Linked DNA regions of Sus scrofa. The protein of the gene in region 1 interacts with the protein of each later gene in a biochemical or structural test. Links are inferred from orthologs where the notes say so. Each region holds a gene or a part of one and is shown on either strand. Other genes may lie near its edges.

Region 1 (4,121 bases):
TATGTGAAAGATTTTAATTTTATTTTAATTTTTAATTTTTTTTTGTCTTTTTGCCTTTTCTAGGGCTGCTTCCCGCAACACATGGAGGTTCCCAGGCTAGGGGTCTAATCAGAGCTGTAGCCACCGGCCTACGCCAGAGCCACAGCAACGCGGGATCCGAGCTGCATCCGCAACCTACACCACAGCTCAAGGCAACACCGGATCCTTAACCCACTGAGCAAGGGCAGGGATTGAATCCACAACCTCATGGTTCCTAGTTGGATTCGTTAACCACTGAGCCACAACGGGAACTCCAATGTGAAAGATTTTTAAAAGGACACTAGAATCCACATGAATTTTTTTTTTTTTTGGGTGTACCTAAGGCATGAGGAAGCTCCCAGGCCAGGGACTGAACGTGCGCCACAGCAGTGACAATACTGGCTCCTTAACCCACTGAGCCCCAGGGAACTCCTTTAGCATTTAAAAAACAAGTTATAGGAGTTCCCTGGTGGCTCAGAGGGTTAAGGATCTGGTGTTGTCACTGTTGTGGTGTGGGTTCAATCCCTGGCCTGGGAACTTCCACATGCTGTGGGCACACCAAGAAAAATCACAAAAGACCTCATTACATATTCAGACAACATTTATTAAAAAAATTTTCTAGGCATTCCCGTCGTGGTTCAGCAGTTAACAAATCTGACTGGGATACAAGGGAAAACAGGTTTGATCCCTGGCCTTGCTCAGTGGGTTAAGGATCTGGTGTTGCCGTGAGCTGTGGTGTAGGTTGCAGACGTGGCTTGGATCAGGCATTGCTGTGGCTGTGGCTGTGGCTGGCAGCTATAGCTCCGATTAGATCCCTAGTCTGAGAACCTTCATATGCCTCAGGTGCAGCCCTAAAAAGCAGAAAAAAAAAAAATTAAATGACCATGGATTCCTCTCCTGAATCCTTCAAGAGAAACAGTTTTCTTAAATTTTATAAAAAGCAAACTACCAAGTTGCTTTTATTTATTTTTTTTTTATTTTTATTTTTTTTGGTCTTTTTTTTTTTTTTTTTTGTCCTTTTGTTGTTGTTGTTGTTGCTATTTCTTGGGCCGCTCCCGCGGCATATGGAGGTTCCCAGGCTAGGGGTCGAATCGGAGCTGTAGCCACTGGCCTACGCCAGAGCCACAGCAACACAGGATCCGAACTGCATCTGCAATCTACACCACAGCTCACGGCAATGCCGGATCATTAACCCACTGAGCAAGGGCAGGGACCGAACCCGCAACCTCATGGTTCCTAGTCGGATTCGTTAACCACTGCGCCATGACGGGAACTCCTGCTTTTAGGGGCAGATGCTTCTAACTCAAAATAGTAATTCAAGTTCTCTTCTGTTGGAGAACCATGACAAAATTAAGAGGCTGGCAAAGCAAACAGCATTGGCTAATGAAACAAAACAGCTTCAGATGCCCTATACATACATCTCATAATTTATTAAAGAACAGTGCTATATACATTTGCGAAAGTTGAGAATCTCCATGGATTATGTATCAGTCCTTACAAGGATGCTATAGATTATTTGAAGTTTAGACTAACATGCCACATGTGCTACATTATTCTAAAGTGGTAAATATGTCTCTCTTTTAAAAGCATTTATTTTATCTGCCTAGTCTGACATTTCTTCTTAGATGAAGTGAATTAGATGTAAAGCTTTACTCATTACGTCAATAAATAATTCCATCTAATGGGTAGGACAACTGGTCCCAAAATCTTATTATTATTATTATTTTTGTCTTTTTAGGGCCGTACCCATGGCACATGGAGGTTCCCAGGCTAGGGGTCCAATCAGAGCTGTTGCTGTCAGCCTATGCCGCAGCCACCACAAGGCCAGATCCGAGCCACGTCTGTGACCTACACCACAGCTCACAGCAACTCCGGATCCTTAACCCACTTCGTGAAGCCAGGGATCGAACGCGAAAACTAGTTGGACTTGTTTCTGCTGCGCCATGATGGGAACTCCCCCCAAATCTCATTTGTATTGCTATGTGTGTGTTTGCGTGTCTCTGTCTCTCTCTTTTTAAAGATAAAGCCCAAACTAAAGGAGTAAAAGGTCAACTGGCTTATCCCCAAATTCCTAGCTCTAACATTTAAATTTCTGACATTTCATCATTTAGATTTGCCCATCAACTCCTCAAGCAAGAGTAATATAAAAGATAGGAAAACAAAGCAGTATCAAAGCAGAAGAAAACACAGTAAATTGGTTTTTTTAAACTTTTGTCTCTGAGATACCTCTGCTGTATTTTTCCTGTCTCACTGTTACCAACAACTATAAATCTGATAAAGGAAATTACCTTTTGATACAGTCAGAGCCGGTGACCACTGTGACCTCAGGATATCGAGACAAATACTTCCATTACTGTTTATGTTTGGATGGTAAATTTTTGTTGTGAAAGCAATCTAGGCATAAAACATAACAAAACAAAACTGTGACAACCCATGAACTATGAAACCAAACAATTAATTTGCCCCAGGGTAAAATGTCCTCAATTTTATGTGATCTTACTGGAGAAATGCATTCAACACAAACTGGATGAGCATCTACTTTATACTCGCAAAGCTTTAGCTATTGATAATGTGAAAGCAAATAATCAGTCTCCTGCTCTCCCCACCCCAAGGAATTAAGAATTATTTTGGAAAGTGTGATAAATAAGTCTACAATGGTTAGTATGACTGGTTCGGCAGCACCTGAGGTAATTAACCATCCCTCAAAGCAAGACTTTTCTTAATTTGATTAACAAAGGGACACCTGGATCTAAAAATAGGATGCTGACCCTATTCCAGAAGAAAGTTGAGGGGCCTCGGCTTATAACCTGTCCTAAGAAATTCACCAAGAATTCTAATCTTCCACAAGAGCTGTTATATCACTTCATATACAATGTTTTCTTTGGTCATGCCTACAGCACACAGAAGCTCCTGATTCACGGATCAAACCCACACTACAGTAGCAACCTGAGCTGCAGCAGCAAAAACAGGAGGTCCTCAACCTGAGGAGCCAGAGAGGAACTCCCTATTCAGGGGTTTTTAAAAATCTAAAATAATTATTTCTTGAGTGACAGAATTTGTTAATGATTTCCTCCCGCACTGATATACTCCCATCATTTGTTTCCTCTTTTGATCTAACTTTAATAAGAACGTGCTTTTAATCCCACCTACCACACTAAAGGGACTGTGTCACATTTAGTTTTTATATTCCCCAATGCAACAGAACATGGTAGGTGTTCAGCAAATGTTTACTGAGTGCTTAAAAACTGAGAAGGAAGGGCCAACCTAGGATAGATAACCCCTTGAATGGAAAGTCTAATTCTTAACCATAAAACCCCCCTGTACTACATATATCTAATGAGGAGAGAAAGACAGGTAGGGAAGCTAATTTACTGCCTAAGAGACACTGCCTCCTGTGTACAGACATAATACAATATTTGAGTAAGAAAGCATAATTTAGATTCAGTGGTTTTATAGAAAAGATTGAACATGCCAGCCTACCCATGGTCTTTTGACATCATGAAAATATTGGATAGAGTAAAACCCCTGACAGAGTTGTCACATGAACCATAAAAATAAAGATACCTTTGGTGGTTTAAAAGGATAGTCTGTCGGGAAATGTACAGTGAGAAAGAAGACTCCACCTTGATATGCGCTATCAGGCTGAAATTACAAAATAATTGCATCAGTGTTTGATTACTATATTTATTAGTAGTAACCTAAAATGATTTCCCCAAAATATATCATTAAAAAAAAAAAATGCCAGGAGTTCCCGTCATGGCGCAGTGGTTAATGAATCCGACTAGGAACCATGAGGTTGCGGGTTCAGTCCCTGCTCTTGCTCAGTGGGTCAACGATCCGGTGTTGCCCTGAGCTGTGGTGTAGGTTGCAGATGCGGCTCAGATCCCGCGTTGCTGTGGCTCTGGCATAGGCTGGCAGCTACAGCTCCAATTAGATCCTTAGCCTGGGAACCTCCATATGCTGTGGAAGCGGCCCAAAGAAATAGAGAAAAGACAAAAAAAAAAAAAAAAAAAGCCACTTTGTCATAAGTTCAAATCATTTAAACTTGAAAACAGGTTTTTCTTTGCAGGACTGAAGGAGAATTTTCCAACAATTATGCTGAC
Region 2 (4,805 bases), on another chromosome or scaffold:
TGCAATCAGAGAATTACAGTTAATGACCCCAATTGCCTTTTTTACAAATTGGGAAAACAAGGCTCCAAAAGGTTATGTCAAATGTCCCAGTTAACATGCAGCTCTCGGTTTTTTTTTTTTTTTGGTCTTTTTTACCTTTTCTAGGGTTGCTCCCGTGTAATACGGAGGTTCCCAGGCTAGGGGTCTAATCGGAGCTGCAGCCACTGGCCTACACCAGAGCCACAGCAACTCGGGATCCGAGCCGCATCTGTGACCTACACCACAGCTCATAGCAACACTGGATCCTTAACCCATTGAGCAAGGCCAGGGATCGAACCTCATGGTTCCTAGTCAGATTCGTTAACCACTGAGCCACAACGGGAACTCCAGCTCTCGCTCTTTATACCTCTACAGTACTAGCAAACCTATTCCCCTTTTCCTTGTCAGTGCTTGCTCACTGTGTCATTTGCTCCTTTCAGAATGAAGGGGGTGGGGGTGGGGAAGAGTGGAAACAAGGAAGTGTTAACTACATCAGAATGGGTGGACAGGTAAATCTTAGATCAAGAAGTCATAAAAATTTTGAAATAACCTACAATGGAAAAGAATCTGAAAAAAAAAGTGTGTGTGTGTGTGTATTTGAATCACTTTGCTGTACACCTGAAACACTTTTAATCAACTACAATAAATTTTTTTAAAAAAGAAGTCATAACAAATCATTTAGATGTATGAGATGAATTCTGAATTCCAAATATTAAGGAAGTGGGATTAGATAGGCTCTTTGTAGAATCTAAAAATCTCTGAATTATGCTTATAGCTTTGATTTAATTATTTAAAAAAAAAACAACTGACCTAAATGTATAAAAATTCCTAAAGTTTCAGATAAAAGAAAACATTTTTCCTTTGGTGATATTCCTAATATCTAAAACAGCACATTTCTAAGGAGTACAATAACAGTAACACCTTTAAGAATGACGCTACCCTAAGGATTGGCAAGTCTATAAAACTTCCTTCTGCCGTCACCTGACCACTAAGTGGATTTTAACACCTTATAATCAAAATATAGAGGTCTAGTCCAGAATACTTTCCTGAATCCAAAGTACAGCTGTTGTAAATCTGCAACATTAATCCACAGTAGCGGAATACTTGCTATAATTAGAAAGTTAATGTGCCTGTTAAGTCATTTAGAGCCCATACTTTGACCAGGAAGGTTTATTTGCTGCCAAATTTCAACCATTATTTAAAACTCTGCATTTCTATTTACAAATTTAAAATTTTTCCCTGGGGAGAAGAAGAAAATAACCTTTCAGAAAAACCTCTTTTTTTAATCACTTAGGGGATAAAATTTTTAACAAAGTTTTTTCTCATAAAAGAACAAAAATTGTTTGGATAAGTCAAAAATGCCACTCAAAGCAGAAATTATGATTTCAGTTTTTAAGTAAGGAGTAGGGTAAGGGGGCTGTATTGCAGGCCAATAAACAAGGTATTTTTAAAACCTAATATGCAAAACACGTGGATCATGTCTGAAATAAAATTCTTTTAAAAGTAAAAAAATAAATATATGATATCTCATTGTTGTAAATCTGCTTTTAAAATGAGTCCTTATTTTATGAATAAAAAACAAGAAAACATACTACAGAGAGGGTAAATGAAGAAACCTCTTGATTCTGGCAGTTCTGAATTTTCATTCCTCAAGAAGGGAGAGTGATTTTTTTTTTTTTTTTAGATTTTATTTTTTCTTTTATAGTTGATTTGGTTCCTAGTCGGATTCATTTCTGCTGCGCCACGAAGGGAACTCCTTATAGTTGATTTGAGAGCAATTTTTGAGTTATTTTCTCCAAAACTCTGATTTTTCGGTTTAAGATGTAAAAGCTTTCAAACTATAGAAACCTCGGTTTCATTTAAGATGCTCTCACAGTGATTTTAAATGCCCTATTAAAAAAAATAAGGATGCATTTAAACAGCATCTCTTTTTCAAGGTGTTCTGAGATCTTAGAACAGAAACCATATAAAATATAACAGGATGAAGCTGTCCCGAAAGGTTTCACTTGGTCCAATATTTTTAAAAAAATTTATAGAAAGAAGTGACTTATTTGTAAAAGAAAATTCTCCACAAAGGCCTATCAGGACACTGTCTTCTCCAGGAAATGGCATCCTTTGATAGCGTAGGGCCAGGAATGAGATTAAAATTTATGTTTCTGAATAAAGGGCTTAACATTCTTCTTCAAGACAAGCTACTGCCATCTGACCAGTCTTGAATCATCCAAGTTTTAAAGCCAGCAGAACAGTAGCTAATCCCGAAAGGCAACAGCTAGGGACACTTCTTTCCTGCGCCTCTCCGGAACAAGACTAAGAGTCATTACTGTGGAAGATGACTCCAGAGCATCACTCTGGTGTGTGAAAAGAAGCATTAAAACGACCCGCTGACTCAGGGCCTTGACCGTGACCTCTACAGTTTGCTTTTAGAAAAGGGTGGCGAGGTTGGGCCCACAAACCAAAGTGGTGCCTCGCAGCTCCCATCAACTCACCTACTTTTATTGTCTTGACCACACCCATCACTACCTGAAATTACCTTTTTAACTGCCCTGCTTTCCACCTGTTTCGTTCCCCAGACTACCAGTCCCCGTCGCCGGCCGCAGCCCTCCGACTAGCAGCAGCACGGGCGTGGCCCCAGTCTTTCGCTCCCAGGCAGGGCGACCCCGCCCCTATACCTCCAGGAACAGTCTCTCCGAGGCTCGGTGTGTCCCACGGGCCGGAGCTGGGCCCGCGGAGGCCGCAGCACAGCCAGGGTCTCGAGTGCAGCGCTTACCCATCACCTGGACCCTGCAGATGGCGCACGTATCGCACTCCACGTCCCAGCTCCACATGGCCACCGCGTTCCACTTCTTCAGAGAGAACATCTTGTCGCCTCCCGACTTGGTTCCTGAGCTACCGGAGTGAGAGGACAGGGCGCAGGGCTCCTCGCCGTCTTCCACGTCTGCCATGGCGGCGGCGCGAAGCCGGCGGCGGAGACGTTAGGTTGCGGAAGGCGGGCGACTATGGCGGCTCCCTGGGGCCCCTCGCCGGGCCACAGCGCCGCCCGCAGGCTGCGGGCCACCGTGGGGCCTACGACGGAGGCCGCCCGAGACTGGCTGGCGCGTCCCAGTGACGTCACCGCCCCCGCGCCCTGGGCCCGGCCCGCTCCGACTCTTTGGCCAAGAATGGGCGCCGCGCTCAGGAGGGTTGCCGGTGCAGGAAGCAGGTGTTCTGCTTTATGCCTTCGTGACCCTTCTGGCTCTCACAAGTTGTCATATTGATGTACTCCCTTCCTAAATGAAAACGCCATCGGAGCGAGGACGTGACTTGATCACCACCTTCTCCTGGGTATGTGAAAAATGCCTGGCCTCAGGAGGGGTAGTTATTTGTTGAGTGAATGAATGACTATCTTTTAGAAATCTGGTTCAGCCGTTCTCAAACTTTTTGGTCTTGGCACCCCTTTACACTTAAGAATCACTGGAACATTAAAGAACTTTCGGTTTGTAAAATATGTGTACACACAAACACACACTTTTTTTTTAAGAAATACGAAAAAAATTTTAATGTATTCACTTAAAAAATAACCATAGGAGTTCCTGTTGTGGTTAAGCGATGAGGAACCCGACTAGTATCTAGTATACATGAGAATGCAGGTTCAATCCCTGGCCTTGCTCAGTGGATCGGTGTTGTTGTGAGCTGTGGTGTAGGCTGGTAGCTGTATCCGATTCAGCCCCTAGCCTGGGAACTTCCATATGCCACAGGTGTGCCCCCACCCCCCGCCCCCGCAAGGAAAAGCAATAAACCCATTACAAGTAATCATTAGAACAAGGATATCACATATCTTGTAGCTTTTATAAAACTCCACTGTATACTCACAGGAGAAAGTGAAGAGAAATAGCGGTGAATATTGTTATGCAAATACTTTTGACCTTGTTTCCCCTGAAAGGATCCCAGGAACCCCCGGGGACCACACTCTGAGAACCTCTATCTAGTCCAACATCCTCCTTTTATTGATAGGAATGTTGAGGTCCAGAAAAATAAGATAAAGACACACCATTATTCCCTAAAGGTAACTGTTTTGAATCCAGGGTTCTTCTGCATCTAGCCCGGGGTCATATTATTATGTTTTCCCAAGCAAAGCAGATAACATCTCTATTTAAATAAGAAAGCTGTGGTATGGAGAGCCCACGAAGATGCCTGATCACCACTACCACCTAGTGGTGGACACCTGCTGTGTCGGGTTTGGAATTCAGAGCCTCCCACCTTTTCCTACTGGGCCTCATCCCCTCCTCTCCTGATGTCTGGATGGGGGCTAGAAGCTCCAGAAATCTGGCGGAGGAGGCAAGGAAGCATATATGTGTGAAAATATAAATGTGGATACATTTGGGTCACATTTGGCTAGATGCTGATGGAAGAGGTGACGTTTGAACTGGGGGAAGATGGGAGGCATCGGAGGCCCGGAAGTGGGTGGAGAAAGCAAACCTCTGCAAGGCTGTCAGGTTGAACAGAGCAGTAGTAGTGGTGGCAGATGTAAAGTTGACCCCACTAAGTTTATGAGCCAGACAAAAATGCCTGTAAACAAACCCAGATGAACCATAAAGGACACACATTTTACTCACATTAAGCTACCACACATCTGACTAGAGATGCTATAAATGCCAGATAGTTAATTTAAAAAAGAAGGCTAGAACCAGATGAGGATAAAATGCCCCCAGTTGGGGGGAACTGGGCAGTTTGAAAGAGAAAAGGAGGGAACTCAGATGAAAGGCTAGAGGATGATTAAGAATGAGAAATGGTAGGAGTTCCCTCTCATG
Region 3 (2,885 bases), on another chromosome or scaffold:
GGAGGGAGGCAGCCCGGGTGCGGAGGGGTGCTTTGGCCTAGAGGGGCTGGCGAGCGCGCTCAGTGAGCCAGGCAGGTGGAGGCACGGGCCAGACAGCAGAGGTGGGCAGCACTTCACATTTATTGAGGGCCTGCCCCCAAGGAGCTCACAGCCTGGGGGCTGAGACCCCACATGTGCCAGGGGAAGTGAAGAGAGGAAGGCAACGCAGACACCGCGGCCCAAGCAGAGGGGATGCAAAGCAGGCACAGGCAGGGGGTGGTGGGGTGGGGGAAGAACGGGGGCCTGGCCAGCCCCGCTAGACTCCGGGAAGGACAGACTTGAGGACAGCCCTCCCCCGCCCGGAGGGCAGCACCTGGGGTGCACTAGGGTGGCCCAGCTCCTCCGCCTACCCTGAGCCAGGCCGCACCCTCAGGCCAGCCCTCTCCACCATGCAGACCCCTGATGGAGAGCAGGTGGCCGGGGAGGCCAGGGCAGCAGGGCGGAGGCGTGGCCTATGAGGGCAGAGCTGGAAGCCTTGGTGGTCCTGGGGCTCTGGGCCAGTCTCCAAGGAACTTCCAAATTCCCCTGGAAGGCCTGGCTGGCTAAGGAGGGCAGGGGCAGAGGCCTGAAGGGAAGGAAGCAGAGGCCCAATAACCAGGAGGGGTCCCCAAGAGGCCTAGCCCCCTCAAAACTACTCCTGGCGGGGAGGCTTGGGGGTGGACAGGTGGAAGGCTGAGAGGAAGCCACCTGAGGGGGGTGGGGCAGCCAGACAGAGAGCAGCCAGGAGGGCAGCAGCAGAGCAGGGACACGCACACACGCGGCTCACCACCAGCGTCCCCTTTAATAAAACATGGAAGGTCGTGTGACAGGGAAGGGCGTGGGGGGTGAAGTACGACCATTTACAACCACAAAAAAAACCTCTGTACATGTCTAGTGCCTGGCAGAGGGGAGGGCAGGCAGGGCGGCGGCAGGCCGGGCCAGCCCTATTTGTAGAGGATGTCGTAGTGTCCAGGCCGGTAGAGAAGGTAGACCTTGGGCTCGGAGCCCTCGGGGAAGATGTGGGGGTTGGTGGTGCCGCCCTCGCCGCGGTCCATGTACTCCACCTGGATGGAGACGCTGAGCGCCTGGGCCAGCGCGATGATGTGGATGTGGTCGCTCTCCTTGCACATGGGCTCCACCTCCTGCAGCACAGGGGCCGCTCAGGGCCTGGGTCTTGGCGCCTCCGCACCCCCAGCCACCCGGTGCACCCCCGGGCCCCGAGGCTCCCACCCTGAGGCCCCAGTGAGTCTGGGGAGCGGGGAGGGGGCAGCACCTGCTGGCAGAACTCCTTGACGGTCCGCCCACCCTCGATGAAGTGCTCGAAGAACTTGCTCTCGCGCTGCAGGTAGCCCGAGGTGAGCAGCCGCAGGTAGACCACCAGGTAGTCCGAGGTGCTCTGGTCGTTGAAGGAGGCCAGCAGGTCGGCCACTGAGGTCTGCTTCTCCACCTGCTCGATTAGGTCCATGAACTGCCGCCCAAGGGGGACAGAGAGCAAGTGAGGGAGGAGATGGGCCGATGCTGCCTCGGCCAGGCCCCCCGCCCTCCACCCGGCCGAGAGGCTCACCGTGTTGTGGAAATCCTCAATTGTGAATTCGGTGAAGCCCTGGGACACCAGGTCCTCTTTGCTCTTAGCAGACACAGCCTTGAACCTGCAGCCGGGAGGGAAAGAGAGGCTGCGCGGGCTCCTCGGCCAGCAGAGAGGCCAGCTCAGAGGTGGGGGCCCGGGCAGCACGGGAACCGCACCTCCTGGTCCCCAGGAGGATGGAGGGAGCCCCTCGGGCCCTTCCTAGGACCCTGCCCCACCCGCCTCTTTGTGCTCGAGGGCCCGCCCTCCTCACCGCTGCAGCTCCTTGCTGTCATCCAGCAACGCCTCCAAGTGGGAGAAACCGAAAGCACGATAGAAGCAGTTTCCATCAGGCCTGGTCTTGCGGATGTACGAGTACTTTTTGTGGAGGTCCTGCGGAGAGGCAGCCCCCGCCCCACCCGGGCCCATCAACATCAGGCCAGAGCCAGGGCGGGCCGAGGAAACCGCCCTGACGAGGTTGCTCTACAGCAGGTGGCAACTAAGCTCCAAGCAGCCACCTGCCATCCTTGGCTGCTGACTCTGGTGATGCTACCAGGAGCCCCCAAAGCCTCAGGAAACTGACTTCTGGACACATAGGTTGCACGGGTCACCAGCGGCTGGGCAAGTGACTGAGTCCTTGATCAAAGCAGCTTTTCCAGGGAAGGACCTTTCACACTTGGAGAGCTCCAGGGCAGCGTGGTGCCCATGGCACAGCCTGGGGCTGGACACAGCCTCCCTCACCTCCTTCTAAGCTCTACCCCGCCCACCCTCAGGCACTGGCTCCATCTTTTCTGGTTCCCTCCCCAAACTCAGTGAAATTTCTTCTCTGTCTGTTGAACCTCCCTGTAGGAGTCAAGGCCTCACTCCCTCAGCCTAGGCGCCCTCCCCTTCTCCCCGACACCCATCTCATACCTTTTCTGTTCTCTTCAAACCCCCACCCACCTTGACCTTGCTTCCTTTTGGACTGAAGACTTCCCCTGAGAACCCCAGCCCCCACGGCACACCTGCCCATGGCCTTCACTCTGGGCCCTGGGAGGGTCTGAGGCCACGCCTCCCTGGGATGAGACACTGTTCCAGGGACACTGTTCCAGGGGGTCGCCGCCCTCCCTACAGGTTCAGACCCATCAGCATTTAAACACCAGGAGAGTTCTCCCTTTAAAAAAAAACCTTTGCTTCACACGAATTCCTTTCCAGCCACCACCCAATTCCCCTGCCCCGTGCACTGTCTCCGTCCCCTCCTGCTGTGACCTCAATCCAAGCAGGCTTTTGCTCTAGTGAAGGTCACGGATGCCTCTTAAGTCCA
Region 4 (4,581 bases), on another chromosome or scaffold:
CATGGAGGTTCCCAGTCTGGGGTCTAATTGGAACTACAGCTGCCAGCCTACGCCACAGCCACAGCCACGCCAGATCTGAGCCACATGTGCGACTTACACCACAGCTCACCACAACACCAGATCCTTAACCCTCTGAGTGAGGCCAGGGATCAAACACGCAACCTCATGGTTCCTAGTCAGATTTGTTTCCACTGCGCCACAACGGGAACTCTGATGTACAGCTGTACAGTAAGAACTTAATACTGTTTTTCTATGTTATGTGAAAATAAAGTTAATCTTGGTCGTTTCCATCACCCATGATGGATTATAAATGCCCAGAAAGATGACAGTCTATAACAACTAAATGATCTTCATATTAATATCAGTGTTGCATTTAACACATCTAAGCAAAGTAGCTAAAATGGGTTCACCAAGTGGATGAACTAGATATACACCCCGAAGTATTAAAAGTAATCTGGGCCTTATCTTTTTTGACAGTAAAGAAATCACTGTACCTTTCTGAACTGTAATTTCATCACCAATCCCAAAGAAATCAAACAGAAGTTATAGAATCTACTGACCATAACACAAAATTTAATTTCATTTCCAGCAATTAAAAAGAACTACTTGGAAACCATTCCCCTCTAAAGCCACTCATTCCAGATAAGATTGCTTTGAGTGACTGTGCAAGTCATTGACTAAAAACAAGCAAAAAACCCCAAACTCTCACCGGCTATTAAATCTTCGATAGCTTTGTTGTTATTCATCTAAAAAAAATCTCGAAAATTACCTACCAAAAATTCTATCCATTTTTGCACTCAAATCACTATTTGTTTTTTCTCAGTACTGCCCCCTTCCAGTCTACCAATCAGCAGCCCGTGAGAAAAGCTGCACTGACTTGATGAAGAAGTCACAGGCTCAAGGGATGTAACAGTACACAGACAACTCCAACAGCCACAGCGACAGTCCCTTCCTTAGGGTGAGCACCGCGTGCATTACATAATCACAACGAACTAAAATATTGTTATTCCCATTTTACAGACATACTCAGAGAGGTTAGGCAACCCATCCAAGGTCACATCTCTGACAGAGGTGACGCCACGATTCAGACTCGACTGTTTTGTGTTTTGTGTCAGGTTTTTCCCTTACGACCAAGCTCCATCTAGTACACCGCCGCGCTCGCGCTCTCGGGAGCGCTGCTAAGAAACGCAGCCCTTCCCCGCCCACCCGAACCGCGTGGATCCACAGGTGTGCCGCAGGAGCCGTTGTCCCAGACCCCGGCCCGCCGGGTCGCGACGGCCCCTCAGGCCCGACCGCAGCTCCCGCGCCCCTGGGCCTCGATGCGAGCGGGAGCTTGGGCTCGCCCAGCCCTTCCGACCTCCGCGCCCCATTGTTCCCGATCTCACTCACCTCGGAGGATGCCGGTGCAGGCCCGGCTGGGGCGCTCGTGGCAAGCTCCCGGCGGCCCAGAAAGCTGGGTCGGTGACGGCAGGACCCACGAAGGCGAACCCGGCGACTTCTCCGCCGGCCCTCAAGAGCCGGAGCGGGCGGGGGCGCTTCACCCTCCTCGCGAGACAGCGGAGACCCCGGCGGCTGCTGCGACCCCTGTGACGTAAAGCGATCATCACCAATGGCAGCTTGGGGGCGGTGGCAGAAGGCAAAACCCACTTGGCAGGCCCAGCGCGTCAAAACACAGCACCCGCCAACGTAACGCATGCGCGGTGGAAGACGCCAGCAGCGAGGGCGGGGCCTAGCGCGCGCAGCCCGGACCCGGCCCTTCCCCCACCGTCCACCGCCCTCCGCCCCAGGAATGGGAGCGGCGAGAGCACCCCCCAGACAGAAATCGCTACCACAGCTTCACTCCTGTTACTATCAATCTCTCGGGGGGTGGCGGCAGGGGGGTTAATGTTCGCTTCTACCTTACCCGGAAGACACGGTAACTAGTTCGATCTCCTTTCAAACCTCACCAAACTCTGAGAAGTTACTGAAACTCTCTGCTGTACAGATAAAGGAACGGAGTTACACGGAGCTGAAGTGACTTTCGGTTGCAGTTACCAACCAACACCGGGATTCGAATGGAATCCCAAGTCCGAGGTTTACAGTCTTCAGAGACAGAGATCTATTCCAGTCTGGGGATAAACAGGGATTTTACCTATGACCACAGAGCCTTGAAATCGTCCCCAGATGACGTTTTCCTCCTTCCGCACTCCCCGAAAGCTGGATGAAAACTCTGTGCAGTTCATAACTGAGATACTTAGAGACAAGACATCTAGAGCCTAAAGCGGCCCGTTGCCTCATTCTACCGTTAGGCCTCAAATGTGCGCGTCCCAAACATTCTAGAGCTGAACTTACTACAACGGCCCGAGTACAGAACTCCGTCCTTTGGCTTAATATTTATCTGATCTTGCTACCGTTCTGAGCACAAATGTTCAACCAACACTTGTTGATTGGCAGGTACATTAGGCTAGGTAGTCCGTGCCAGGTGATTTCTTTTTATAAGTATCACTGGCATCAACAAGCCATCGCGTTCTCAAAGACTTTTTAAAGAAGCTCAATTAACAAGGACTCCCATAACGATGCGTTAGTTAACATAAAAGCGGGCGGCATTCTAGCTTACTTCAAAGATAAATATACACGAACGACTACCTATGTTGTGGGAACAAGTCCCGGAGGAAACATTAATTCTTCCACCGCTGGACGCCGGTGTAATATTTAAAACGTGGATTTTTTTTTCAAGTAAACTTTTAAATGCACACGACAGTACCTTATCCTGCATTAATACTGCACAGCAAGTGAAGGAAGATCGGCTGACGAGTCAAGCCTATCCCTCTCAGCGGCAAAAACAAAAAACCCACTTTTGAAGTAAATAATTCCTCGTTTCTCTCACCTCCTCCCTCAAAGGCGGGCTAGGCCGCCGTCACGTGACCCGCCCCCAGCTCCGGGCGGAAGAGGCCGGCCGCTCGATGGGAAACGCGCGCGGAGGCGACGGGGCGGGCGCTCGCGCCCGGCTGCAAGATGGCCGCCGCCGCCGCCGCCGCCCGGCAGCCACCGCCCCGGAGGATACTACAAGGCCTGTAGCTTCCGCCCGTGCCCGTGGACCGCCGCCGCCTCCTTACCATGAAGCCAGTGAGTCGCCGCACCCTAGACCGGATTTATTCAGCGGTAGGCCCCGGGCCTGGCGGGGCCCCAAGGGCTCGACTCCTCCGGCCCGCGGGTGGAAGGCCCCGTATTTCTTCAGCGCCCAAAAACTCCAAAATCCATTCCTGAATTAAGCTTTTCACTCCCTCACCTCGACTCCGCCTCTTCCTGGAGGACACGCTCTTCCGCTTCTTACGTCAGGGCGGCTTGGTGTACTCGCCTCCGGAACCCCATTTATTCGTTTGTTATTAAAATTTGCACCTTGGCAACGTGCAGGGCTGTCTGATGGGGGCGGGGAGGAAATGCCACTCACGTGTTTTTGCTTTTACTCCTTTTCTTGCATTTTTCAGTTGCTCCTCGCGGTCGTACTACTCTCATGGGGATATGTCATCTATGCATCAACTGTAGCTGCGCGGCGACAGCTAAAGAAGGAACACCCAGACAAAATGTTCGGGACGAATGAACATTTGTAACGCCTCTGAATTTAATTCTATGTATATACAGTTCTTTACCTCATGCTTATCGGACTCGTCTTGATTCACAATAAAATCCTTAATACAAGTTTCCACTTTCATTTTGGTGTAGTCTTTTGTAATAACCGTTAATGTATTAATTTATCAAATATTTAGGGGTTTGTCTTTTATCATCTCATATAACAAAGAACCTGGATCTGACAGCCTTTCAAGCTAGTTTCTAAAACACTTTTGAAATGCCTCAAAAAGCCTTCTTTAAAACAATCTGTAGTTCCCATTGTGGCTCAGCGGTAACAAACCAGGCTAGTAGCCATAAGGATGCCGGTTCAATCCCTGGCCTCACTCCTTGGGTTAAGGATCTGGAGTTGCATGTGCTGTGTGGTGTAGGTGGTGGACGCAATTCAGATCTGGCATGGCCATGGCTGTAGCAATTAGACCCCTAGTCTGGGAATTTACATGTGTGTGTGGGGGGGGGCGGCCCTAAAAGGCAAAAAGAAAAAATTGAAAGTGTGTAAAATTTCTTATATTTATTGCATGATTTCATTATGTTGCATACCTTCACATAAGACTAGATTACATACTGTAAGAAAAAAACTATCATGTGACTAAATTTCCTACATCCTCTTTCCAAATCAAGAATGGCCAAAAAAGTGACTTGCTCAAATCATTTAACATGCCCAGTTTTTATTTATTAAATAATTCAAAGAGTCTCAAATTGTATAATGTTTGGGAAGAAAAAGACACATATCTGAGAGTAAACTTTATTAAAGTTACTTTTCCAGAAAATATATTCAGTAAGTGTGGTAATATAGCTCATATGCCTTTGAAATTTTAAAGTTATCTTCAGTGATGTTGATCAGGAAATTCTTTCATTAGTGGGATTACTTCTCCAGTTTCCAGGATTGTATCACCCTAGAAAAACAAAGATGCATTAGTGAAAAATCTTGTCTTCAGAGGTGATAGTTCCACCATGTGGATAGACCTTGTGGAA
Region 5 (4,121 bases), on another chromosome or scaffold:
GCTTTACCAACCCTACTTTTGTCCCCTTCAAAACATTTTCCATGCACTCGCTAGAGTGATATTTCAAAAATATAAACCTGATCAAAAGCTTATACTTCTCCTATGACTCACTACTGCACTGAAGATGAAATCTACAATCTTTGACACGGCTTGCAAGAGCTCACATGATCTAACCAGGCTAGTGTCGCATCAAGGGAGAAAAACTGCAATAAGGAGGAAGTGGTTAACAGAGATAAATACTGCAGAGCCCAGAATGACATATGTGGAAATGTGCCACTGGATTTGCAAATAAAGCTATTCGCTGGGTGGGCTGCAATTGCATGGCAGGAATGGAGGCCAGGTAATAGAGGGTCATGGAGTAATGGGGAGAGAGGAAATGGAGGTGGTAGGCAAAAGTGTGTGTCTGAAAAATCAGGTGTCATGTGACTGTAGTCCTGCAGCCCATACATATGAAATTGGGAGAAAGGAAGAGAAGAGGCTGAGATATTAAACTCTGGAAAGTCAGGGTAGCATGAGGTCAAAGGCATAGGTGAAAGGAGTGGCTGCCATCACCATTTTCTCAAAGGTCTAAGCCAGTAACATGAACAAAAGCAGGGTCACGTACCAGAGTGTCACACTCGGTGCAATTCTGGAACTCGGATTTCATTCTCTTGGCTACATCAGTTGCTGGAACGCCTTCTGAAGGAAGATATGCCCGGCAATAAGGACAGGTCCACTTATTGTTCTTTAGACTGGTAGCAATGCAGGAACGGCAGAATCTGCAGGAAACCAACCAAGAATACATCACTTTCCTTAACAGCACTAGGTGCTCATTTGTGGAAACTCTATTTTATTTTTTTATTTGGCTGCGCTGTCAGCAAGTGGATGTTTTCAGGCTAGGGACTGGACCCATGCCATAGCGGTGACCCAAGCCTCAGCAGTGACAATGCCAGATCCTTAACCCACTGAGCCACCTGGGAACTCTTAGAAACTGTATTAAATGACACTTTGTATATTAAGAGCTGTTCTGCCACTTCCCCTTTTTCTTGCCATAGCACCCTGATTTTGCTCTGCAGGAACCACATGTCATGTCTTAGATACAATCTGGTGAGACCTCATCTCAGTTGCCCACAACCTCCTGCTGAAGGCAGAGTGCCTGATGTCAGCCAGACTAAGTGAACCCTCTCTCTGGGAGATGACTCCTAAACAGAGTGACATAGGACTGATTCAGTGACAACTTGATGGGACTGTTCTGCTCTTTATTTAGAACCTCAGATCTGCCTGGGTTCCTACCCTTCCCTTCCTAGGGGTTTTTGGTAGTAATGTCATTATAAAATAATTTAAAACTCATCTGGGGAGTCCCCGTCGTGGCGCAGTGGTTGACGAATCCGACTAGGAACCATGAGGTTGTGGGTTCGATCTCTGCCCTTGCTCAGAGGGTTGACGATCCGGCGTTGCCGTGAGCTGTGGTGTAGGTTGCAGACAAGGCTCGGATCCCGAGTTGCTGTGGCTCTGGTGTAGGCTGGCAGCTACAGCTCCAATTGGACCCCTAGCCTGGGAACCTCCATGTGCTGCGGGAGCGGCCCAAGAAATAGCAAAAAAAAGACAAAAAAAACCCCCAAAAAACCTCATCTGTAGATGTTGAAAATTATCTAGTCAAAATTACCACGATTAGGAATGTCCTGCAAGTCAAGAAATATATTCTCTGGTTTACTTAAAGATGATCATGATAAAGTCTTAACATAATCAACAGAATTCAAAATCTTGACCTATTTGTAGGAGCCATTGAAGGCTAAGTGGCACAGAAGTAAAAGTGAGCATTTTTTGATAGGTTATACACATTGGCACGATCTGAGAGCTTCAAGTTTAAGTATACTATACATACTGAAAAGTCAGTCTATCATAGATATATTGTTCCATGAATTTATGTATGTATGTATGTCTTTGCTTTTTAGGACCATACCTGTGGCATACAGAAGTTTCCAGGCTAGGGATGAATCTGAGCTGTAGCTGCCAGCCTAAGCTACAGCCACAGCAATGTGGGATCTGAGACATGTCTGTGACCTACACTACAGCTCATGGCAACACCAGATCCTTAACCCACTGAATGAGGCCAGGGATTGAACCTGTATCCTCATGGATACTAGTCAGGTTTGTAACCCACTGAGCCACAACGGGAACTCCTCCATGAAACAATGCAAATGAAATTCCCAAGTATATTAGCCATTGCTGACTCTTAAAAGCAGTCTCTTCTGCCTCTGTTACAAAATCCCTACACTGCACACAGAGCATGCTGACGTCTGCACTGTTCTTGAGGCATTTGCTTGCTGTTTATGCCTGCCCACCATCCACTTCCCCTTTTCTTGCCATAGCACCCTGATTTTGCTCTGCAGGAACCACACATCATGTGTTAGACACAATCTAGTGGGACCTCATCCCAGTTGCACACAACCTCCTGCTGAAGGCAGAGTGCCTGATGTCAGCCAGACTAAGTGGAGATGACTCCTAAACAGAGTGACATAAGGACCGATTCAGCGACAACTTGATGGGACTGTCCTGCTCTTTCTTTAGAACCCCAGATCTGCTGGGTTTCTACTCTTCTCTTCCTAGGGGTTTTTGGTATTAATATTGTTTGGTAACTTTATATTTTGATATAATTTCCTACTTGATACATGGTTCTTTTTCATTTACAAAATTTTAAAACACTTCCACATATCTTAATTCATTTAACCTTATCAAATGCCTAAGAAAGATCATTATTCCTTTATAGATGAGGAAACCAAGGAACATAAAGTTATTTTACTTTTGCAAGGTCCCATCTATGGAGTTTGGACTTGGCTGGTCATTTTTGTCTTTTCCTTTTTAGGGCTGCACCTGTGGTATATGGAAGTTCCGGGGCTAGGGGTCGAATTGGAGCTGCAGCTGCAGGCCTACACCACAACCACAGAAATATGGTATCTGAGCTGCATGTGAGCCGCATCTGCAGCCTAACAGCGAAACTTGTGGCAACACCGGATCCTTAACCCACTGAGTGAGGCTAGGGGTTGAACCCAAATCCTCACAGACACTATGTTGAAAACCCACAATATTTAAAAGCATTACCATGGAAAAGTACTGGATGCTACTCCAGCTCAAGTGTCACTTTCTAGGGTGCAGAAACCAAACTGTAGAACTGCTTAGTTCAGAAGACCTGAGGTAAACACGCTCTCCTTAAAGGTATAGTTATCAAATCTAAGTCATGAGGGCTGTAGCATCTAACATCCCCTACCCTTTTACCTTGGCATGAAAAGTATACAAGCAATCAAAAGTTTTGTGATTTGTCCAATCAGAATACACACTGGGCTATTCAACTTTAGGTAAATTTATATTATATAATGGAGCACACAGACCAGACAACTCAAAATTAAAACCTTTTAGAAAGCAAAGTATACAAGTGTGTATATAGTATAAGTTTCTTGCAGGTTTGTAGACAGATAAAAACATCCAGGGTAAAGAAAACAAGAACATTTACCTACCTGTTGGAGAAATAGGAACTGGAAAGAATGGTGTATGTGGTAGAAAAAGGGTATTTTCACTGTTGATTTTTAAGTTTCAACTATATGAACAAATTACCTACACAATAAACGATTCTTTTAAAAAGTTAATCACCTACAACCACTTGGGACAAATGGACTGGTAGTGTCTGTCTGATCAAACAAAACTAATAGGGGAGCCCTTGACTGGGCAATACCAAGCTCATGTATTTACTCAAGAGAGATTAAACAAAAAAAAAAAAGTCCATTTGTACAAGAACATTCAGAAGGAATGTTTTCATATTAGCCCCAAACTGGAAATAACCCAGGTATCCATCCACAAGTAAATGCATAAACAAACTGGGGCACAGTCTTACAATGGAATACTACACAGTGATAAAAAAGAACAAATAACTGATACAAGCAATAACATGGATGAAGCTCAAAGACATACTGAGTAAAGAAGCCAGACACATGAACTTAGCCACGAAAAAGACACAGACTCATAGACTAGAGGACAGACTTGTGGTTGCCAAGGGCGAGGGGGGAGATAGAGGAGGGATGGAGTGGGGGTTTGGGATTAGCAGATGCAAACTATTATGTATAGAATAGATAAACAACAAGGTCCTA
Region 6 (4,639 bases), on another chromosome or scaffold:
CTAGTTGGTGACCTCAGGCAAGGCAGGTTAACTTTTGGAATTATGTAAGTGAATACTTCCATATTTTGGAATCTGTACCACCTGTAATGTACGTAATTTACCCATCTCCCTTAATCCATGTAAAAGCATGCAAGGCTGGCAGTACTGTTCTGATTTTACAGTTGAGTAGGTGGTGAAAGCTGGGTTTGAATCCCAGTGTAGATGACTCCGGAACTCTTCCATTTTTACTGTCGTGACTGACTTACTGAGAAATGTGTCCATAGATTAATGGTTTTCAGACAGTGTTGTAAGCTTCAATACAGGTCCTTTGGAAGTTGGAGGAAAAAAACTTTTTAGTTTGAGGAATTTGTCATCCTTTTTACTTGTTTTACAAATTTGGACTCTGTCTTCATACTGTTTGGAAAGAGTTTTTCTGCCTAAAACATTTAAAAGTCTTCTACTTTAGAAACCCAACACCTAGCTAGAGTGAATATGTATTAAAAAATAAAGACATTGGTAATAATAATTTAGATTTGTCCGTGGACAGATTATATTTTCAGTTATGTTTCAGTTCCTAATGATGTTTTGTCTAATATCAAAATGAGACTGAGGTGACTGAATACTATTAATAGGATGGGGAAGTGATTTGAATTAAAATTTTATGCTGAAAATGGACAATCTACAATTTACACAGGGTTCACTCTCCACTACAAGCTCTTGCTCCCTTTAAAGGCTGCCCTAAGCGTGATGTAATGACAGGTTAAACCTCTGAATGCTGGAGCTGACGCAATGAGAATCTGAGGCCCAGGACTTTATTGGGACAAGGGTAATGCTTGTTTAAAAACAAAACAAGCTATTTTGTTTAATGAGGGCGTTTAAGATGGCTTTCCCAGAGTGGGAAGAGAATAAAATCTCAATTTGGACGTTGAAGTAGAAGTTTAATATGGTTATGTGTTTACGACTCTCACTGCGACGGCTTCTCGAATCGAGAAAGGAAGTTTGAAATAAGGTGCTGACGGCGGTAAAAATGGAGAAGTGAGTTAGAATTGAGGAAATAAGGTAGTTGACATCTGATAAATAGTTAATGAAGTAGACAAATGCTTTTGCTATATAAAAATCCGGAGTTTGCACGGTTAACTGGCAGAGTATAGAGCAGAGAAGAGTGCTTGTCTGGCCACGTATTTTCCATATATTCTATGTAGCGCTATGAAACCACCCCAAATTGCGATATCCGACTGTTTGGGCCTACTGAAACGGAGTGTTTCCACCTCACGTAAGCCGGTGGAAAAGCTGAGGCGTGCGGTATGTCTCCGGGGATCGCGAGGTTCTGCGGAGCTGGGTAGCTGTGTGGGAGTTGCGCGCTGCATGCTCGGGATTCTTGCCAGAGCCGTGCAGGAGCGACTGCGAGCCCTGGAGCCGCCCTAGGCCGAGTGGGGCGGAGCTTGCAGCCCCGCCTCCATGCGCCGGCCCGCCCCTCTCCTGCCGCGGCAGCCACCGCCCTGAGTGCTTTGAGCCTTCGGCCGGCTGGCAATCTGCGTTGGAGCAGGCTCTCCCAGCGGCAGCCCGGCCCAGGCCTCCAAATGGCTCTCCCCGCGGGCCGGACCCTGCAGCGGTAGCTCCAGAGCTGGGACTGAGAGCTGCACCGCTTCGTCCAGTCGCTGCTGCGCACTCTCCAGCCCTGTCCTTCACCGAGCTGGCCAGAGCCTAGCCGATGAATTTGGGAAGACAAACTTGGGAGACAGACGAAGGTTTAGGGCCCAGCAGAGGACAGCTCAGCAATGGCTCCCATTTTTGGAGACGCAGGCGAATTTGAGCTCATGGGGAGGTGTGGTCGACTCCTCTCGGGGCGGGAGGGTGCTTCATTTCTCTGCCGCTGTAGCCGGTGCTTCTGAGGAGTGAATGGAGTGTATGGGGCATGGCACGTGCCTTCCTGTCTTGAAAAGTTGACCCTGGACAAATTTAGGAACGGAAGGTGTCCAGTAGGGCCCTCTGTTACAAATAGTCTCTATTCGTGGGGGAAAGGCTATGAGCTGCCTGGCTTCTCATGACCGGGAAGTCTCCCTTACCTTTTCTGTACTCCTGGAGGGGCGTCTTGCTCACTTGTTTACCAGCATCCGGGACAAGGAAGAGAAAAGGTATTACTGTTAAGAGACTGGGTTGCTTAAATTGTGAATTGGGCAAGTTGTTATAAGCTGGTGGAATTTGAATGGATCAGGGAATGGCTGCAGCGTAATTGAGCTGGAGATGTTTCTTTTGAGCAGCTCTACTTTTCTCAGTTTAAAACAAACTTCAGGTTATGCAATGACTCCTCCAGGGTTGTCCAGACACTTGAATCCTTGATTCCTACTGCAGGTCTGCTGTGTTCTTAGGATTCCTTTTCTGTTTGAAGATGGAGCTGGGTTCCATCTTCTGAGCTTTGGGAGGTTTTAGCAGCTGCTGTCCTGTAATACTTTCATTCATAAGAATTACAAGCTACATTTTGCTTGCTTTTCACACTTTGAATAGGAATTTAAATCGTGCTTTTTCTACAGTGTTTGGAAAAATAATAAATATGTGTTATATCATAAGTCTGAACTATTGATGATAAATGTGTAACTATTTTCCTAGGTCAAGAAATTAAACAGTAATGCTTTGCTTGCTTAGTAGTTATATTATGTTGAATACAAACTGAGTTTACTGCCTCCTGACGCGATTTGTTGTTTTGGCGTAGTGAATTGAAAGGCATTGGTGGCTTAGATCATTTTGTGCTGAAGGAACCACTTCCCAGTTACTACGTTGCTCTCTTAAAATAAGCAGCATAAAATGGACTATGAAGTAAGCATACAGCACACATACAGGGCATTTTGGTAATGCTAAGCCCATTGTTCTGCTAGTGACCTAAAATAAAATGCATAGATCATCATATGCACAAAAAAATCTCCTGGGGAAAACTGGATTACAGGAGAGTTCCTTTATATTGGTCTAGAACACCTGGGTTACACAGGGCTTCAGATGGTAAGAATTGATTCCTGTTGTCTTAAATCCTTGTGATGGGCCACATTATGATAGAATCCTGTGGTACTTTTGTTTCTCCTTGAACTTTAGTCCTTTAGTGACAGTGATCTTTCCGATAGAATAATTACAGTTAGGGAAAATATGAAATCTGAAGAGTTAAATTTTAGTTTGATAGAAATATGGCTTAGGGTTCTTGGGAATATACTCTTAAGGACGTCCGTAGACTGATCTTTTGTCATCCCCAAGAAAATGGCCTACCGTATCCCAGCAAAGGTAGATTCCTGGGAAAAGCTGCTAGTTTATCTTTCATTCACCCTGACACATAGTTAACATTGTTGATCATTTCTTCCAGATGGCATTTATTTCATAAATAGTGTTTATTGGTGTGCTGATGAATGCTTCAGCAACACTGGTGAACTTTAGGGTACGAGGCATTCTTTACCTGTTGACTCTATCCCTCACCTCCACTGTTGTGTGAGTCTCTCTGGTGCTTTTGATCTTTATTTTCTTGACTCTCCTTCACCTTTGCAAATTATACTGGTTTATATTGTAGAATGGAAGTAGAATGATTTACTGTGTCTAAATACTGGACTCAGAACTTTTATGAGAGGATGGCCCTCCATTTCTCTTCTACTTTCTCACTTTTGAAGGGGGCATGGATCAGTAGGAAACAAGATTAATTCCTAGCTGGTGTTAACTTTCCATGAAGATGGATGATGAAGAGGAGGTGGATGGTGGGATGGCAGCAGACCCTTCCCCTTGTCGCCCCTTTCATTCCCCAAATTACTCCTAGAGCAGGTAACCGTTCATCATTAGGAGGAATTAATCAAAGTCAGTACCCTGGTGATCCTTTGGATCACATGTAACTCCCTGGAGCACATGTAACAGCTGACTCAGAATGAGTAGGGGAGGTGGGGGAGAAAGTCCAGTCAAAACTGATTTTATTGCACTTAAGCTCCTTCTTGTTTATGGTCCAGTTTCTATTTTAGCATTTATTCCACGTAGTCCATCCAAGTATGATTTTTAACATTTTTTTTTTTTATTTTTTTTTATTTTTTTGTCTTTTTGTCTGTTGTTGTTGTTGTTGCTATTTCTTGGGCCGCTCCCGCGGCATATGGAGGTTCCCAGGCCAGGGGTTGAATCGGAGCTGTAGCCACCGGCCTACACCAGAGCCACAGCAACGCGGGATCCGAGCCGCGTCTGCAACCTACACCACAGCTCACGGCAACGCCGGATCATTAACCCACTGAGCAAGGGCAGGGACCGAACCCGCGACCTCATGGTTCCTAGTCGGATTCGTCAACCACTGCGCCACGACGGGAACTCCCTTTAACATTTTTTAGAGAAAAGGAATTCTAAATGTGCTCTGGAACCTTTTGAGAAGAGTACAACTCACGTATTTGTGTCAATTTATGTTTTTTTTTTAAAAGCCTTCTTTATTTCCCTGTATTCTCTTGCTCACAGTAAATTTTGCATGAACGCTAAAGTATTGCAGGCACGTAAACAGTATTTATATACAAGTTGTAATTGTTTTTCTCCTGCCTCCTTTTATTTTTACATTTTTTTATTACAGAAATGAGCCGTCAGACTGCAACAGCATTACCTACTGGAACCTCAAAGTGTACACCGTCCCAGAGGGTGCCTGCGCTGACTGGCACAACCGCGT
Region 7 (4,711 bases), on another chromosome or scaffold:
AATCGGATCACGTCCCTCCACTACTCAAACCTTCTCATGGCTCCCATCTCATTCAGGGTAAGCGCCAAAGTGCTCCCCCGCCCCAGAAGGCCCTTAACCATCCACCCCGTCACCTCCCTGAGCCTCATTTCCTCCTGCTTCCCCCGCCCCCCGGCCACTCACTCTGCTTCTCCTGCATTGGTCTCCTCCGTGTTCCTCAACCAAACTGAGTAGGTCCCAGCTGGCACTTCCCCCTGCCCAGGACAAGCTTCTCCCAGATGTTCTCTGTAGCTCACATCCTCACCTCCTGCAGATCCCCACTCGCGTACTGAGGCCTCCCCTGACCACCCTATTTATTCTGGTCTTTTTAGGGCTGCACCCACAGCACAGGGCAGTTCCCAGGTTAAGGGTCGAATTGGAGCTGCAGCTGCCGGCCTACACCACAGTTCACGGCAATGCTGGATCCTTAACCCACGGAGCGAGGCCAGGGATCGAACCCGCATCCTCGTGGATCCCAGTTGAGTTCGTTAACCACTAAGCCACGAAGGGAACTTCAATAGTAAAGTCTTTTGACATCCTGACTCTTCCACTGGGATAGGGGTGATAGATACTAAACTGGTGAATACATAAGTATAACAACAGACAAACAATGACATGGCTAGGAATAATCTGAAGCTCAGGGGAAGGGGAGTGGCCAAGCAAAGCCCTCTCTGAGGGTCTCCTGGAGACATGACTGTTAACTGGGAGAGAAGGTGGAAGTGAATTTCTGGAAAGGGCATTGGCCAGAGTAAAGGCCTGAGGGGAGGGAGTGCCTGGCATGTTGGAAGCACAGTAAAGGGACCAGTGTGTGTGAGGTGAAGCGAAGCAAAGCGAATGAGGGGGAGGACTGGCTGATGAGGTCACCAAGGTGCTAGGGAACCAGATCACGTGGAACCTTAGAGGCCAAGAGGCTGGGGTGAAGAATGTGAACTTTACCTTCAGGGCAACAGTTTGCCCTTGAAGGACTTAAAGAGAGAGAACATCATCTTATACATATTTTTGGCGTGGAGGGGGAGCATGGGCAGCAGGGCTGAGGGTGGGAGGCCTCTGCAAGTCTAGGTCAGAGATGATGGTGGCAGCAATGGAGGCGGAGAGGAGAGGTGAGATTCTGAACATAGAGCCAAAAGGATGTGCTGATAGATTGCAACGTGTGACTCTTCTGTATCAGCACAGACATCCCTTCTTCAAGGAAGCCTCCTGGGAACCCTGGATGCTAGTCTAGGGTCCTCTATTAAACACTTCTGACTCCCCTGGTCTCGAGTCCTTCTTCATGAAAACACCTCACACTGCTGGCGGCTGTTTGATGACCTGCTCTCCTTATCGCCTGTCAGCTCCTGGAGAAGGATCCCTGTCTATCTGGTCTGATACATCTGTAATCACCATCCCTGGGCACACAGTAGGCTCTCAATAGATATGTGTTGACTAAATGAAAAGAACCCATTCGAGCCTGAGCCTCGTCTCCCTAGGTCATGTGCTAGAGTAAGAAAGGATTCATTCTTGCTAATGGGCTCTAAGGGTGTATGTTTGTGTGATTTGAGTATGGCCTGGAGAAGCCAGCCTCACCTGTCATCCCAGAGGCAGTGGAATTCATTTAGCTGCTCATCCAACACCAAGCCAGTGCCAGACGGTGTCCTGGCCTCCAGGTTCAGATCCTGTGAGGAAAAAGAAAAAAGGGAAAGGCTGATGCATTGAGAGCCTGAGTCAGAGGGAACCTCCCACACTCTCCAGGATGGAGAACCTCACGGTTTTGATTGTCACAGGAGGCTACATTGCAGCCAGGCCCCCTCTCACCAGCCCTTGGAGCCCCACGATTAGGTCTTGCTCGGCTGCTTGGCTAAGCTTCTTCATTCTGCCTTTCTTCTTTACATCCGCTAGATTGGGGCTGGAGCGGAGTCCGGCACCCTTTTTAACACCTCGCTTCTGCCAAACAGAGAGAAGGGTCAGAGTCCAGTACACGGCCCACTGCTCCCCCTCCCCCTCAAGAGGGCCGGTCAGGGGCCTCACCGAGGTGACGCTGGAGTCGTGTGGGGGGGAGTGGGGGTTGTGCCTACTTCTTCGCTGCCTGGTTGTGGTGGAATCCTGGCCGGTGGAGGTCATGGCTGGGGAGACTTCACCCCTGACGCGGTTCTGGGGGGTGGGATGGAGGTGACTGAGAAGGGGCCCCGAGCGCCCTGAAGACCCCTCATCCCAGCCCCTTCCCAGGCCCCGCCCCCTACGCTAGCCTCCATCCCTTAGGCTATCTATTCCCCACCACCTCTAAACTCCGCCTCTCTCAAGGCTCTCTCCCTCCAAGGGGGTGTCCATTCCACTTGGTCCCGCCCATTCCACGAGGCTCCACCCCTTTACACTATTCTTTACCCTTTCGGTCTGGCTCTTTCACAGAGCAATTAACCCCCTGGCCCAGTCCTGATCTAAGCCAGCCCTTGCCAGCTAATCACCGCCCCTTTCACTCTATCAAGCCCCATTCCCAGATCCTTTCATTCCTCAAAGCCTCGCCCAGACCCCACCCCTTCGCAAACCTGCCCTGGCCAGCCAATCTCCCAGGATAATCACCCACCCTTTCACTCAGCCAGCCCCAGCCCCGGGCCCCGACTCCACCCTTAACGATCCACTTAACTCCACCCCTTATCGGGCTGGACCGGCACCTTCCACTAGGCTAGATCCCGCCCCTAACGTTTCAAGGAGCCCAGCTCCTCAGGGGACTGCCCTTTCCCTTCCGCCAGGCTCCACCCCCTGCCCAGGCCCAACCCCAAACGCTTCCCCAAGCCCCTACAGCCATTTCCGAGCCCCTCCCCCAGACCCGCCCCCCCCTCCCCGCCCCCGCTGTCGACGTTGACGAATCCCTCCACTCACTTGGCGCAGCCCCTTTCTCAAACTCCGCCCTTGGCGCGCGCCGCCAATTTCTCGGCGACCTGTAGGGCCGCGGGTGCCTGAGCCTCTCTTTTCCATTGGGCCAGATCTCTCTACAGCCCGCCCCGATCCCGCCCACACCGGGGAGAGCCGGCCTTGCGCCTCCAGCGGAACGCACAAACGGCGGATCAGCGCGTCAGTGCGCGACGCTGGCCGTGCCGCGCCTGCGTGAAGCGCGCGCCGGCTGCCTGACGCGGCGCTCGGGCTCAAGCTTCTCCCCTCCCCCAATCGCCACAGCTGTCACCCTGGCGGTCGTGACCGCGGTTTCTTTGTCCCTGTCCAGTTACCTTAGGAGCCCACCGGACTCGCGCCAACTGTACCGTGCGGTGACTCAAGAGTGCAAGCAAGCAAGCGAGGGAGTTAGGAAAGGGCGTCTTCTCCCTGCCCCCTGGCTTCCCGCGCGGCGCGCCGTGATGACGTAGCGCGGGCGGGCTGGTGGCTGGGCCTGGAGCGCGGTGGAAATTGGACGAGGCTGGTGGCGGCCAAAAAGGGAGTGGTGATGATGACAAATGTGAGAATTTTCTGAGTTCATATTCACTAAGGTGGTACGCAAGGAAGCACTCACCAAATGTTAGCTATTAATAGTCTGCCGCGAAAATGGATGGTGGAATGGAAGGGGGAATGATCGTGACGATAGCAAGTTGTATGTGACAGGCATTGTCGTAAGCCACAGTTCTATGAGGTACTTCCCAGTACTAAGGCTGCTTTGCAGATAAGGAAACTGAGGTTATGGGACTTAGCCATGTGACTTTGGGCAAGTTACTGAACGACTCTGTGCTTCAGTTTCCTCCTCTGGGAAATTGTGATAATAGTGCCGGGGAGTCAGAATGGACCTTGGGAGGGGAGTTTTTCTTGGGTGACAGCTCTTCCTGTCTGCTCCCTCCAGTGGGTAACCTCTGCACGCAAGCTGGAATAGAAAGTGTATGGGTAGGGGGGAGTTGCGCCCCCCCCCCACAATGCGCCCTCCCAACTCTCTCCCACCCCATGGCTAAATGTCTGAATATCAGCCTCGCAGGAGGCCGGTTTGTCCTCCTAATCTCCCTCTCTCATTCTTCACCATTTCCTACCGGGCTGTAGGCTGGGGCGGGAGAGATAAGGGGTCTGGGGTTCAGCATCGCTGACTAACCAACAGATTGACAGCCCCACCGCCCAGTAGCTGGGCCCTCTGACACTCTTGCAAACCCGTTTCAACCTAGTCTTCCCTTCCACTCTTTTCCTACCTGAACGTGTCTTTTGTCCCAGTGGAAGAGGGTCGCAGCTAAAAGACCTTTACACCTCCACGTACGCCAGAGAAAACATGTATATGCAGTGATAAACACAGAGGAACGTTCTGAGGTGATGCTTGCAAAGTGAAAGAGTAGGGAGTCTTGTAAGGGCCAAGACCCACTTTTTTTGTATAGTCAGAAGGGAGGTTTCTGTACAACAAAGGTTGGCAAACTTTTTCTGTAAAGGGCCAGATAGTAAATATTTTAGGTTTTGCAGGCCACATACTGGCCTCTGGGGCATTTTCTTCCTTCCTTTTCTTTCTTTCACTTTCTCTTTTCTTTTCTTCATCTTCTTTTTTTAGGGCTGCACTCGCAGCATATGGAGGTTCCCAGGCTAGGGGTCCAGTCGGAGCTGTAGCTGCCGGCCTACACCACAGCCACAGCCACAGCCACACCAGTTTGGAGCCGTGTCTGAGACCTACACCAGAGCTCAGTGCAATGCCGAATCCTTTAACCCACTGAGCCAGGCAAGGGATTGAACCTGCGTCCTCGTGGATGCTAGTCAGATTCGTTTCTGC

What was found.
Region 2: the proteins of UBE2D1 (region 1) and RNF7 form a complex in vitro, tested with the Homo sapiens proteins (11 studies listed by BioGRID). The link is inferred for Sus scrofa from reciprocal best matches to the Homo sapiens genes UBE2D1 and RNF7.
Region 3: the proteins of UBE2D1 (region 1) and OTUB1 form a complex in vitro, tested with the Homo sapiens proteins (2 studies listed by BioGRID). The link is inferred for Sus scrofa from reciprocal best matches to the Homo sapiens genes UBE2D1 and OTUB1.
Region 4: the proteins of UBE2D1 (region 1) and TOPORS form a complex in vitro, tested with the Homo sapiens proteins (3 studies listed by BioGRID). The link is inferred for Sus scrofa from reciprocal best matches to the Homo sapiens genes UBE2D1 and TOPORS.
Region 5: the proteins of UBE2D1 (region 1) and RNF125 form a complex in vitro, tested with the Homo sapiens proteins (4 studies listed by BioGRID). The link is inferred for Sus scrofa from reciprocal best matches to the Homo sapiens genes UBE2D1 and RNF125.
Region 6: the proteins of UBE2D1 (region 1) and SIAH1 form a complex in vitro, tested with the Homo sapiens proteins (3 studies listed by BioGRID). The link is inferred for Sus scrofa from reciprocal best matches to the Homo sapiens genes UBE2D1 and SIAH1.
Region 7: the proteins of UBE2D1 (region 1) and HDAC6 form a complex in vitro, tested with the Homo sapiens proteins (2 studies listed by BioGRID, with this or other methods). The link is inferred for Sus scrofa from reciprocal best matches to the Homo sapiens genes UBE2D1 and HDAC6.

What each region holds. Positions count from the first base shown.
Region 1 is NC_010456.5:92,302,458-92,306,578, forward strand, and holds part of UBE2D1 (UB2D1), read right to left. Parts: intron 3,661-4,121; coding exon 3,583-3,660; intron 2,413-3,582; coding exon 2,307-2,412; intron 1-2,306.
Region 2 is NC_010455.5:82,546,775-82,551,579, reverse strand, and holds the start of RNF7 (RING-box protein 2), read right to left. Parts: upstream 3,106-4,805; 5' UTR 2,961-3,105; coding exon 2,786-2,960; intron 1-2,785. UniProt on the Homo sapiens protein: Catalytic component of multiple cullin-5-RING E3 ubiquitin-protein ligase complexes (ECS complexes), which mediate the ubiquitination and subsequent proteasomal degradation of target proteins.
Region 3 is NC_010444.4:8,087,724-8,090,608, forward strand, and holds the end of OTUB1 (ubiquitin thioesterase OTUB1), read right to left. Parts: intron 1,976-2,885; coding exon 1,857-1,975; intron 1,668-1,856; coding exon 1,583-1,667; intron 1,487-1,582; coding exon 1,292-1,486; intron 1,161-1,291; coding exon 963-1,160; 3' UTR 805-962; downstream 1-804. UniProt on the Homo sapiens protein: Hydrolase that can specifically remove 'Lys-48'-linked conjugated ubiquitin from proteins and plays an important regulatory role at the level of protein turnover by preventing degradation.
Region 4 is NC_010452.4:33,864,754-33,869,334, reverse strand, and holds the start of TOPORS (E3 ubiquitin-protein ligase Topors), read right to left. Parts: upstream 2,907-4,581; 5' UTR 2,756-2,906; coding exon 2,744-2,755; intron 2,722-2,743; exon of another isoform or gene 2,132-2,721; intron 1,585-2,131; coding exon 1,390-1,584; intron 1-1,389. Other genes in the region: NDUFB6 (NADH dehydrogenase [ubiquinone] 1 beta subcomplex subunit 6), read right to left, coding at 4,434-4,502. UniProt on the Homo sapiens protein: Functions as an E3 ubiquitin-protein ligase and as an E3 SUMO1-protein ligase. Probable tumor suppressor involved in cell growth, cell proliferation and apoptosis that regulates p53/TP53 stability through ubiquitin-dependent degradation.
Region 5 is NC_010448.4:115,870,870-115,874,990, reverse strand, and holds part of RNF125 (E3 ubiquitin-protein ligase RNF125), read right to left. Parts: intron 759-4,121; coding exon 605-758; intron 1-604. UniProt on the Homo sapiens protein: E3 ubiquitin-protein ligase that mediates ubiquitination and subsequent proteasomal degradation of target proteins, such as RIGI, MAVS/IPS1, IFIH1/MDA5, JAK1 and p53/TP53.
Region 6 is NC_010448.4:36,359,220-36,363,858, forward strand, and holds the start of SIAH1 (E3 ubiquitin-protein ligase SIAH1), read left to right. Parts: upstream 1-1,340; 5' UTR 1,341-2,023; coding exon 2,024-2,114; intron 2,115-3,623; exon of another isoform or gene 3,624-3,686; coding exon of another isoform or gene 3,687-3,771; intron 3,772-4,546; coding exon 4,547-4,639. UniProt on the Homo sapiens protein: E3 ubiquitin-protein ligase that mediates ubiquitination and subsequent proteasomal degradation of target proteins.
Region 7 is NC_010461.5:42,916,566-42,921,276, reverse strand, and holds the start of HDAC6 (histone deacetylase 6), read right to left. Parts: upstream 3,065-4,711; 5' UTR 2,968-3,064; coding exon 2,872-2,967; intron 2,730-2,871; exon of another isoform or gene 2,576-2,729; intron 2,565-2,575; exon of another isoform or gene 2,538-2,564; intron 2,146-2,537; coding exon 2,023-2,145; intron 1,939-2,022; coding exon 1,810-1,938; intron 1,671-1,809; coding exon 1,582-1,670; intron 1-1,581.